Linked DNA regions of Neurospora crassa OR74A. Each later gene encodes a partner of the first gene's protein in a complex. Links are inferred from orthologs where the notes say so. Each region holds a gene or a part of one and is shown in the gene's direction. Other genes may lie near its edges.

What was found.
Region 2: NCU06768 (region 1) and NCU07549 share a complex: the UniProt entries of both Schizosaccharomyces pombe proteins name them as parts of the mitochondrial large ribosomal subunit. The link is inferred for Neurospora crassa OR74A from reciprocal best matches to the Schizosaccharomyces pombe genes mrpl16 and mrpl51.
Region 3: NCU06768 (region 1) and NCU04171 share a complex: the UniProt entries of both Schizosaccharomyces pombe proteins name them as parts of the mitochondrial large ribosomal subunit. The link is inferred for Neurospora crassa OR74A from reciprocal best matches to the Schizosaccharomyces pombe genes mrpl16 and mrpl7.

The regions. Positions count from the first base shown.
Region 1 is NC_026502.1:2,003,421-2,006,352, reverse strand, and holds NCU06768 (mitochondrial 54S ribosomal protein YmL47), read left to right. Parts: upstream 1-1,152; 5' UTR 1,153-1,388; coding exon 1,389-1,829; intron 1,830-1,913; coding exon 1,914-2,055; intron 2,056-2,124; coding exon 2,125-2,291; 3' UTR 2,292-2,426; downstream 2,427-2,932. Other genes in the region: NCU06767 (replication factor C subunit 1), read right to left, coding at 1-297, 361-402, 459-504, 567-672; NCU06769 (activator 1 38 kDa subunit), read left to right, coding at 2,840-2,926. UniProt on the Schizosaccharomyces pombe protein: Component of the mitochondrial ribosome (mitoribosome), a dedicated translation machinery responsible for the synthesis of mitochondrial genome-encoded proteins, including at least some of the essential transmembrane subunits of the mitochondrial respiratory chain.
Region 2 is NC_026503.1:4,406,053-4,409,221, reverse strand, and holds NCU07549 (mitochondrial 54S ribosomal protein MRPL51), read left to right. Parts: upstream 1-1,231; 5' UTR 1,232-1,412; coding exon 1,413-1,454; intron 1,455-1,538; coding exon 1,539-1,621; intron 1,622-1,923; coding exon 1,924-2,215; 3' UTR 2,216-2,667; downstream 2,668-3,169. Other genes in the region: NCU07548 (hypothetical protein), read right to left, coding at 45-150, 237-364, 471-732; NCU07550 (triosephosphate isomerase), read right to left, coding at 2,752-2,780, 2,844-3,169. UniProt on the Schizosaccharomyces pombe protein: Component of the mitochondrial ribosome (mitoribosome), a dedicated translation machinery responsible for the synthesis of mitochondrial genome-encoded proteins, including at least some of the essential transmembrane subunits of the mitochondrial respiratory chain.
Region 3 is NC_026505.1:5,079,209-5,083,130, forward strand, and holds NCU04171 (mitochondrial 54S ribosomal protein YmL7/YmL5), read left to right. Parts: upstream 1-1,415; 5' UTR 1,416-1,690; coding exon 1,691-1,947; intron 1,948-2,083; coding exon 2,084-2,768; intron 2,769-2,971; coding exon 2,972-3,088; 3' UTR 3,089-3,420; downstream 3,421-3,922. Other genes in the region: NCU04170 (hypothetical protein), read left to right, coding at 1-1,023; NCU04172 (hsp70-like protein), read right to left, coding at 3,722-3,922. UniProt on the Schizosaccharomyces pombe protein: Component of the mitochondrial ribosome (mitoribosome), a dedicated translation machinery responsible for the synthesis of mitochondrial genome-encoded proteins, including at least some of the essential transmembrane subunits of the mitochondrial respiratory chain.

The DNA.
Region 1 (2,932 bases):
GCATCGTGCTCATCATCCATGTAGGCATCGCCATCGTCATCCTTGTCGTAACTCTTGTAGGCCGTCGTGGGTTTCTTCGTAGTCGAGGTCTTCTTTGTAGTAGTCTTGGGAGGCTCTGGTGCTTTGGCAGCGGGGGTGGCTTTCTTCCGCGGGCTTGTTCGAAGCGCTACTTTTGGTTCTTCTGGCTCGGGTTTTGCGGGTGTCTTTTTCGGTGTTGACTGGGACGCAGCAGCAGTTTTTGTTTTTGAGGTTGCAAAGTACTTGGCAGCATCGGTTTCAACTCCTTTTACGGGTTCCCTAGATAGTCTGTCAGCAGGAATAGGATGACATGGAACTGAGAGGTGTTTCATAAACACTTACGCTACTTTCTTCTTTGGCGCAGCCTTGGTTGGCTTTTTGACTCTACACATGCTGGTTAGATGCTAGTTCTGAGAAGAGATGCTTTTCACTAAGCTTACTCAACAACCTCGTCATCTTCGCTGTCCTCAACAACCTTTCTTGGCCCTGCGACAAGATTGTTAATATAACGTGATAAGCTTGTGATGGCGATCATGGTTCAAGCTTACTACCCCGGGTCTTCTTCTCCTCTTCCTTCTTGGGTGCTGGTGTTGCCGGCTTAGCAGGCGGCGCGCCACCTTTTGGACCAAAAAACGAGCGAATGTCGGCAGGCATGATGGAGTATGTGAGAAGAAATCACTGGATACAAAATGATAAATTGAATGTGTCAAAAGGTTGGGAAGATGTAACAATCAGATGACACCAGCAAGCATCTTCTTATAGTGGCGGAGTTGGGAAGTAGGGACTTTTGTTCTTGGTGTCTGAGTTGTCCAGGCAGCTGTCCTTCTGCCTAACAAGTGTTGTTGAACAAAAGGCCTAGAAGGGTAAAGAGCTAACGGGTCGACTCTTGTCCCTTGTAAAGACGGAAGTAACAATTGAATGATGAGTGAGACGCGAAGGTGAAGTGGATGACGCGAGTCTGTGTCCGGGCTCTGCTCCCCTGTCGCGACTGGTGGGGCCTTGTCCTACAAGAATTCGCCAACTTGCTGCCTTGAGCTACGCCCACGCAGCTGTATTTCTTGTGAGGAGTCAATGAATGAGTCCCAGGTCCCGCTTGTCTGCTGTGTCCGGCAGATTCCATGTCGCGGCCGGCACCCGACACTTTTTGGTGGGTCACAATTTTTGGAAGTGCCGTCCGTGCCCCGTCCGCGCCCGCAGCACCTTCCATTGCAGGTAGTCGCTCTGCCCGGTCCCCGTCTCTGTGCGCGCGCTGCTTCGGGGAATCCGTATCAATCGTCGTCGGCGACCGGCATCCAATTGGACCCTCCCTCCGTCCTCCGTCCACCACTCGTCCCCTCCCCGGTCCGGTCCACACCCAAACCTTCAACACAATGAAGCACAACGCTTCCTCGGCGCTCCTCAGCGCCTTCCAGGGCCTTAGGATATCCTCGTCGGCGACTCCCTTCCGTGCCGCGTCGCTCGCAACCTCTGCCGTCCGTCGCCCCATTGCGCCGACCCCCGTTTCCGTCGCCTCCCATGTCCGCCTATTCTCTGCGACCGCCATCCAGGCTGGTTCGTGGCTCGAGCCCAACCTCAACAGAAAGAAGAAGATGATGAAGGGAAGGCCCAGAGTGCCGACGGGTGGTTCGACCAAAGGAACAACAGTGGTTTGGGGAGATTACGGCCTGCGCATGCGCGATCACCACCGCAGAATTAGCGCCCAACAGCTCAAGCTCGCCGAGGACACCATCAAGCAGAGGTTGCGTGGTCAGAAGTACCGCCTGTACAAGCGCGTTGCTTGTAACGTCGGTGTGTACGTCAGCGGTAACGAGGTGAGCAGCTGAACAACCCACAGCCCGGGAAGGCCGGATGCCGACTGTTAGCGGACATGAGGCTCACATGCATTTCCGGTGTAGATGCGTATGGGTAAGGGTAAGGGTTCGTTCGACCACTGGGCGACCAGAGTTGCCGTCAACCAGATTATCTTCGAGATCAGGGGGCAATTGCACGAACAGGTCATCCGTGATGCCTTCCGTTTGGCCGGACACAAGCTTCCAGGTAATAACAGCACATGCTGGCCCAAAATCTTTGCGAGGTTGAGAAGAGTAGAAAACTGACAAGTCATAGGTCTGTACGAGTTTGTGAAGAAGGGTGACCCACCAGTGGTTGGCATCACCAAGTTGGAGGATGGCCTCACGGTGGAGGACCTCAAGAACCCAAGGAAGAAGTTGTTGATGCCAGAGATTACCCAGAGTGCTGCGAGCACATCAAGCACTGCTGCTCCTCCTTCGTAGAGGTGGAGAACCCTGAGCCTATTCTAATTGTAACACTATGTAGAACAACAGAAGGGCCAATGTGCAAAAGAGTGTTGCCATGGCCATTTCATGATTATTATGACGACGTAACAAGCATCACCACTTTGATTTCAATGCTCTGAGAATGTGTCCGTAAGCTACTACCAGTTTACCTGGATGGGCCAGAGCACCACATCGAGTCAACAAGCAATGCTGGCTTCCTAGATATACCCTTTCAACCATGCCATGAAATGGGCCCTATACTAGATGTCGGTTCATGGAAGATCCAATATCCAGCATCGGACGTTGCAAAACTCAAAGAGATTCAAGATAGCTGCCTAGAATACTGATGGCGAAAGTGGGCAACTGTCTACCCCAGGGCCTGTATAAGCGGGTGATATGGTCCGTGCGGCCATCCCCCGTCATCTGTTAATTGATTTTCTGGACGGCGCGTCAACTCGACGCGTCTCCCATGCACCTCCAATCCAGCATTTCTTTCCCCTTCCGTTGTCAACCCATTTTCCTCTCCACAATATCACCACACCACGATGGCGCTTATTGTTGACAAGCACAGGCCGAGGTCTCTCGATGCCCTCACCTATCATACCGAATTGTCGGAGAGGTTACGGTCACTTGTAAGT
Region 2 (3,169 bases), on another chromosome or scaffold:
CAAGAAGAGGGGGGGGGGGGGGGTCAAGGGGGGCTGGTCATTACCTCTCATGTCCTTTTCGCGTTCGAAAACGACAAAAGCATAGCCACGATGGGGCTTTTTCTTCTTGTTTGGGTTCTCATCGGCGTGGGTATCTCTGATGATACGGATCTGTTTTTTGGTGTCAGTTCTTGTCAATTAACACACACATAGCTGTGAAATCATGATATAGGAGGAGGGGGGGTTTGCAAACTCACACGCTCGATAGGACCGTAGCGGCTAAACTCGCGCTCGAGATCCTGTTCATCAGCACGGTAGTCAAGACGCGCTACTATCAACGTCTTGAAAGCATCTCCTCTGATGTTGGGATCGTCATTAGGGTTGTCTACAGATAAACGCCATCGGTTAGCAAGCCGCACGACAGCAAGATCATGATCAAGTAAAGGAGTAGCGAGCACAACTGCGCGTAACGTTGGGGGTTTGCCGCGTACAATTCTTGGGACCCTCGGTCAACAGCTTCTCCAAAGCTTCCTTCTTCTCGCGCTTCTTGCGGTCGCGCGCCTCCAGCCAGCTCTCGGTGGGATGGTACTCGTATTCTTGCTCGTAGGCCTGCATGGCAGGAAGGAAGTCGGCAACGGGGGTGATGAAGGCCGACTTGCGCTCTTCGGGAGCAACATCGCAGGGCGGCACCCAGCGCAGAGGTGGCCGGGGCGCAAAGAGTGCGAGGAGGTTAGGCGGGAGCCGGTCTGTCATTGTCGCTTCACGTTGTCGCTGTTGTAGCTGGTCAAGTGGTGTTTTTTTGTTGATCTTATCTGTCGTCGAATTATGAAATCGATATGTCGGAAACCAGGAAATGTAGGTCGTCTGGCGTTTGATCCACTGTTCGGAAAGCCGGGCGAGAACAGTTCAATAAGGCTGAACGCTGTTACTGTTTGCCAATTCTTGTGATGGCGATAATGTGGTGTTGTCGGTTTGCGAGAAAGGTCAAACCCGCATTTTCGCGACTTTGCTTGGACAGCTGAAGACGAGAGACAGAGGGTGGGAGGCGGGAGCAGCAAAGGGCCCTGTCTGGTGTTGTGTCGTCCACTGCCTGGCAGCCTCGCAGCGACTGGAGCTCTTGCTGGGCAGCTTTCTCGCGCGCTCGACCACCGAACGACTGAGTGCGAAAGAGGGACCGTGCACCCTTAGGTCGTCTTCGTTATCACTACGCACACACCCAAGGAGGAGTGCAATCGCGTGAAATTGATTCTGCCAACCGCTTTTGCAGTTGGGCGGGTCCCCCACCCCCAGTGCCGTGCCGGCGCGCGACGGGGCGGGAGTCTGGCAGAAGTTCAAGTCGCACCCGCCCTCCGGATCATGAACCCTGGTGGACTCGGACTTGTTGCAAGGCGAGGACGGCGGCGAAGAAGAAGAAGAAGAAGAGCATCACAACAATGACGGTAAAAGCATTGACGCAGATCTCCTCTGCCGGCCGTGTAAGTTAGACCGCAGCCTGAGCAACTAAAAACTTTAATTTTCAGAAAAAAAAGAATGCTAATCGTTGATTGTTTTGTATCTAGAATGGCGTCGGCGCATTCGTCTTGCAGTGCAAGAAGTTGGACATCCACTACAGTGACTGGGCCGGCAGCTCCCGGGGCATGAAGTACGTTTAGGATTCTTCGAATATGGACATCGCAACCTCATTCCCGATCGAACATCTTTCACATATACCAATACCTCTACACGTCCAACCAAACCGACATCCTCCCAAGATCTCGAGACCATCCCGCCGTCCCCGACCATCCATCCATCCATCCATCCACCACTACATACCCTTTTTCTCGTCCCTCCTCGTCCCTCCTCGTCCCTCCTCGTCCCTCCTCGTCCCTCCTTATCCCTCCAGTCTCCCTTCGCGACCTCAGCAGACAGACTCTTTCACTAACACTTACTTCTTCCTCCATCTAGCGGCTTCATCAAATCCCTCCTCCCCAAATTCGCCGCCGCCAACCCGCAAATCGAGTTCGTCGTCTCTCCCCGGCCCGCCAAGCACCCGATCCTCATGGGCCACTACATCAACGGGCGCACCAAGGCCATTTGCGTGCGCAACATGGAGCCGCTCGAGATCCTCAAGAAGGCCGAGCTCCTCCGCGACGCGAGCGGCGAGAAGCCCCAGAAGTTCAAGAAGCCCGTCACCAGCACGAACCCCAGTGTCAGAGGTGTCTGGTCGCCTTACCATGGGCAGGGTATGGCTGTATAAAGCGGAAAAAGGGGGAGGAGCAGGTGCTGGTGCTGGTGCTGGAATGGACTGGATCGGTGCTGGGCTGGATTTGGTGCTCGGCCGGTGTTGGCTCGGTTCAGTACCAGGTGGATTGTATATACCATGTTGAATGTATGAATATGAATTGAGGACATGAAAAGGGTTTCTGGATGTATCAAGGGTTTCGGTTTGGCTATATGGTTGTGATCAAGTCCTTCCAGAGCTATCGAGTTCCCATGATGAGTTGCCCCAGTTCCAAAGAATCTGACATTATCTTCTGGTGCTTGGTGGTTGACTGTTGATATTGGAACTTGGGATGAACATCTAAGAGCGAATGGAGGAGCCGCGGAGTTGCGGTATCTGGTGTCACAGAAGTCATGAACGGGCTACATGAAGCGAAACTACGTTCTTCAATCCCAAATCGAACAAAATCAGGACATTTAACTATTTTATATTTTCGCCGTGTCCTCAACACCATTTCCCAGCCTATATGATTGCGGCTGTAGCAAAGCTATAACTTTTTATGGGCAAGTAATTTACAGGTTGGCGTTGATGATGTCCACGACTGCATCATATCATGTTAGCCATCTTTCTTCCTCTCGTTGCAACAATGGCAGGTAGTACTTACACTCGGGCTTCAAGCTGGCACCGCCAACAAGGAAACCGTCAATGTCCTGCTCCTTGGCAAGGTCCTTGCAGTTCTTGGCGTTGACAGAGCCACCGTAGAGGATGCGGGTCTCCTCAGCAACCTTGTCGCTGACGTTCTGCTTGAGCCAGCTGCGGATGGCGGCGTGCACCTCCTGGGCCTGCTCCTTGGTGGCGACGAGGCCGGTGCCAATGGCCCAGATGGGCTCGTACGCGATAACGACGTTCTTCCAGTCGTTGATCTCCTTGGCGAGAGCGGCGAGCTGGTTCTCGACGAACTTGATGGTCTCGCCGGCCTGGCGCGTGTCC
Region 3 (3,922 bases), on another chromosome or scaffold:
ACTACCGCTACTAGTTCTACTACGAACACCACCCCAGTCTTGTTTACAACTAGTACAACTACTACAACCGCCGCCGCCGTTGCTACTACAGCCCCTACTCAAGCCACCACGACCATCGCCACTGCTGCCACTACTTCCACCACGAACATCGCCTCAGCCTCGCCTACAATTCCTGCTGTTGTGAACTGGGACTACCAAGGATGTGCCAGTGACTCCAACACCGCCGCGCCTACTGCTCGCGCGCTCAATGGCACCTACCTATACGACAGCGCCGGCATGACCATTCAAAAATGTCTTAACTACTGCGCCCAGCAAAACTACCCCCTCGCCGGCCTCGAGTTCCAATCCCAATGCTACTGTGGTCTCGAGTTCAAGCCCGGCTACAGCCTCGGCCAGACTGGCTGTAATCTCACCTGCGCCGGTGACCCATCAACACGCTGCGGTGGCCGCGCTCGTCTGGACGTCTTCAGACAAACTAACTACGTGACGCCCCGGCTCGTCAACCCGTCCGTGGTTAACGGGCGCTTGGCGACGCCACAGGGTTGCTTCATCGACAACTCAACGGCTCGTATTCTCAAAGCTCACTCGTACACCAACAGCACGAGCATGACGGTCGAGATGTGCCACGAACGCTGTCAGTCGAGGGGCTACAGTCTCTTTGGCGTGGAGTTCGGCAAGGAGTGTTACTGCGGCAATTCGCTCGCGGACACGGCGGTGGCGGCGTCAGAGCTGTATGAGTGCAAGAGGTCGTTCTGCGTCGGTGATAAGACGGAGTTCTGCGGTGCTGGCTCAAGGTTGTTGCTTTACAGTATTCAGCCGGCTGGGACTACTTCTCCTGCTAGGAGGAGTATAGAAAGGAGAAACGAGGGGATGGTGAAGGTGAAGTTACCCAATTTGGGCAAAGATGGGGAGTCTGATTATGAGTTGAAATGGGATGGTGATGGGGGTGTGGGACAAGTGAGAAGAAGCGGCTCTGGGCGGAAGAATATTGAGAGGCGATGGGGACGTAGTCTTGGACGGTGATGATGATACTTGGATGTTTTTTCTGTTTTCTCTTTCTTCCCCGTTACATACTTTGTTGTTATTGCTAGACATGCTGATAAGGTGTGCGCGGAATGATGTAATTATTAGTGGCTCGGAGGATACTTCGAGCAAAGGAAGCGTACGCATATACAAGTGTCTCCTAATCTAATCATACATGTCGTCTTAATGTGTTGGAATCCTGATCTGAATCGCTTATATTGGTACAAACATAGTGATATATTTCCAAATCCATGCTTTATTTAGAGTTCATCAACCACATCAGATGCATTCTCAGGGGTCCAGGAACGCTTTCAGGGGTAACAGACTCATATCCCTAACCCCAAACTCATCCAGCTTTGGCCCGTGCTGCCAAGCATTGGCCCCGGTTCGAGACTCCGCAGAGGCTCCAAAAAAAATTCCGGCGGGCGGCACAACGGGGACCGGCACCTCTTCGAGCCTCGACGCGGGACCAGGACCTTGCGCTTGCCGGAGAAGGAACCTCGCTGCCCTCTGCCCGTCCGTGACAGACCTTCGGCCCCGATTTCCCGCGTGCGCCGGACCCTCTTCCTCAACCACCACTCCGAAGCGACAACCTCCACGGTCGCCAATTCCGAAACCAGAGCGTCCGCCCGAACGCCGGTTTCTTTTTTCGGTATCCTAATTCACCATGGCCAGTCTCCGCGGGGTCTCGCGATCGGCTCGCGCTCTTCAGCCTTTCTCTGCTCAGTTCGCCGTCCGAAGATGCGCCTCGACACAAACTGGTGCCGGCGCTGCTGCCGCTACTCCCAAATCCAACATTCCCGACCTCGCCGAGCTTGAGACACGGTCGGCATTGGACGCTCCCATCCCCAGCGAAGAGGACAAGAAGGAGTTCAGGCCATGGAAGCGCGCGGCCGACAGGAAGGCGAGGTTGCCTAGCAGCAGGTGCGTTATACACTCTCCCTCCGTCCCGTGGTTTACATAGCTAGCCACACACATGTATATATACATACATATACGCAAACCATAAACAAGATGTTTAAACGTTGCTAACCACCATGCCTCACCTCCTACCGAACAGATACCAATACCACCCCCCCAAGTACAACCGCGGCCCCCTCCACCCCATCCAATCCCCTCCCTCCTCCGACCCTATCGCCCGCGACTTCGTTCCCGGCCCCTTCAACATGCCTCGTCTCAAGGAAACCTTCCGCACCGTCATGGCCTCGGACCTCATGACCCTGGCCTACATCCACACACCCCCGGGAACGCCCAAAAAGGAACCCACGGAGCGCTTGCGTGCCTGGGAGGGCGACTCGCCCTACTTCGCCAACCGTGCCCGCCGCGCGCCCCGCGGTGCCCCCGAGCTTCCCATTCGCGAGCGCGACATTTCGTTCCGCAACATCCCCGAGATCAAGGAAATCACCGTCTCCACCTTCGTGCCGCTCGGTCTCAAGAACCCGGACTTGTTGATTGTGGCCCGGGCGGTGCTGCTGGCCATGACGGGGACGATGCCGGAGATGACGAGGTCCAAGAACAACGTGGTGCAGTGGCAGCTGCAGGCGAACAAACCGGCTGGTTGCAAGACGACGATTTACGGAAACGCGGCGTGGGAGTTTATGGATCGGTTGATCCATTTGGTTCTCCCCCGGATCAAGGATTGGAAGGGCGTGCCGGCGAGTACGGGTGATGGAAGCGGTAATGTGCAGTTTGGTTTGAATCCGGAGGATGTTCAGCTTTTTCCCGAGGTGGAATGCAACTATGATGTGAGTTTGTTTCTTGGGAAATGATGGGTGGAAGAGAAAGAGAGGACGGAGGAGAACAAAAGTTTGGAGTTGGAGCCGGAGCCGAAGCTACAGTAGGGAGGGTTCTGGTTCCGGCTCTGGCTCCGGCTTTGGCCCTACCGTCTGCTTCGTCTTCTTGTTTTCTTGGACTTGACGACAGATTACTGACTTTCTATCCTCTCCAGATGTACCCCGCCAAGATGATTCCCGGTTGCCACATCGCCATCAAGACGACAGCCACCTCCGACAGGCAGGCTAAGCTTCTGCTCCAGTCCCTCGGCGTTCCTTTCTACAGCAACTAAGCGCCAAACGGGCTGTTGATCGTGAGAGGTTGAGAAAGGGACGAGATTCAAGGAAGGGGGATGAGAAGATGATGAACAACATCTCGCATCATGATAGTTGTTGGATGACAATTGAGGAGGATGAGGAGATGTGTGAAACTTGTACAATACGAATACACTAACCACATAAGGACGATGTATGTTGGGTGTATATATACCTTTTGTAACAACATCACGAGGAGGAGGCTTATAGACGAAGTGGAAAGGAAACGGAAGAAGAACAATACCACCGGGTCTGACGGTCAAAGATCAAAGAAGTAGAATCACAAATGCGTAAAACAATTGGAAGGGTGTCATCATTGCGTGAACTGGATTGTGTAAACGGACATCGTCAAGGGTATCTGCTTCATAAACAACTCCCAAGTCTAGAACCACATATCCATATCCCAGTCTAGCTTTGCACAGAACAGGTCAAGATATTATGACAACAGAACCCATTCGTCTTGATCAACCAAGGATCTCCAAACAAAAAAAACCAAACGCCTTTTCCAATGCCAAAACCAAAACCATATCTTTTCAGTCCCATTTTCCTTTCATTTGGTCATCCCCATCATGAACCCCAAACCCTCAACCTACTCATCCCCTTAGACAGCTCTAAGCAGACTTGGCCTTGTTTCTCAAAACGTCAATAACCTCATCCACTTTATCCATATCCGCCGCATCCACCTTGGTCCCGTTGTTCACCAAAACCTCATGACCGCGCTTATGCATCTCGTCCGCCGCGACATCCATAGCCGGCTGATAATTCCTCACCGCACTGCTAAGCGCATACGTAGCCTTGCGCCTCACCTTCTC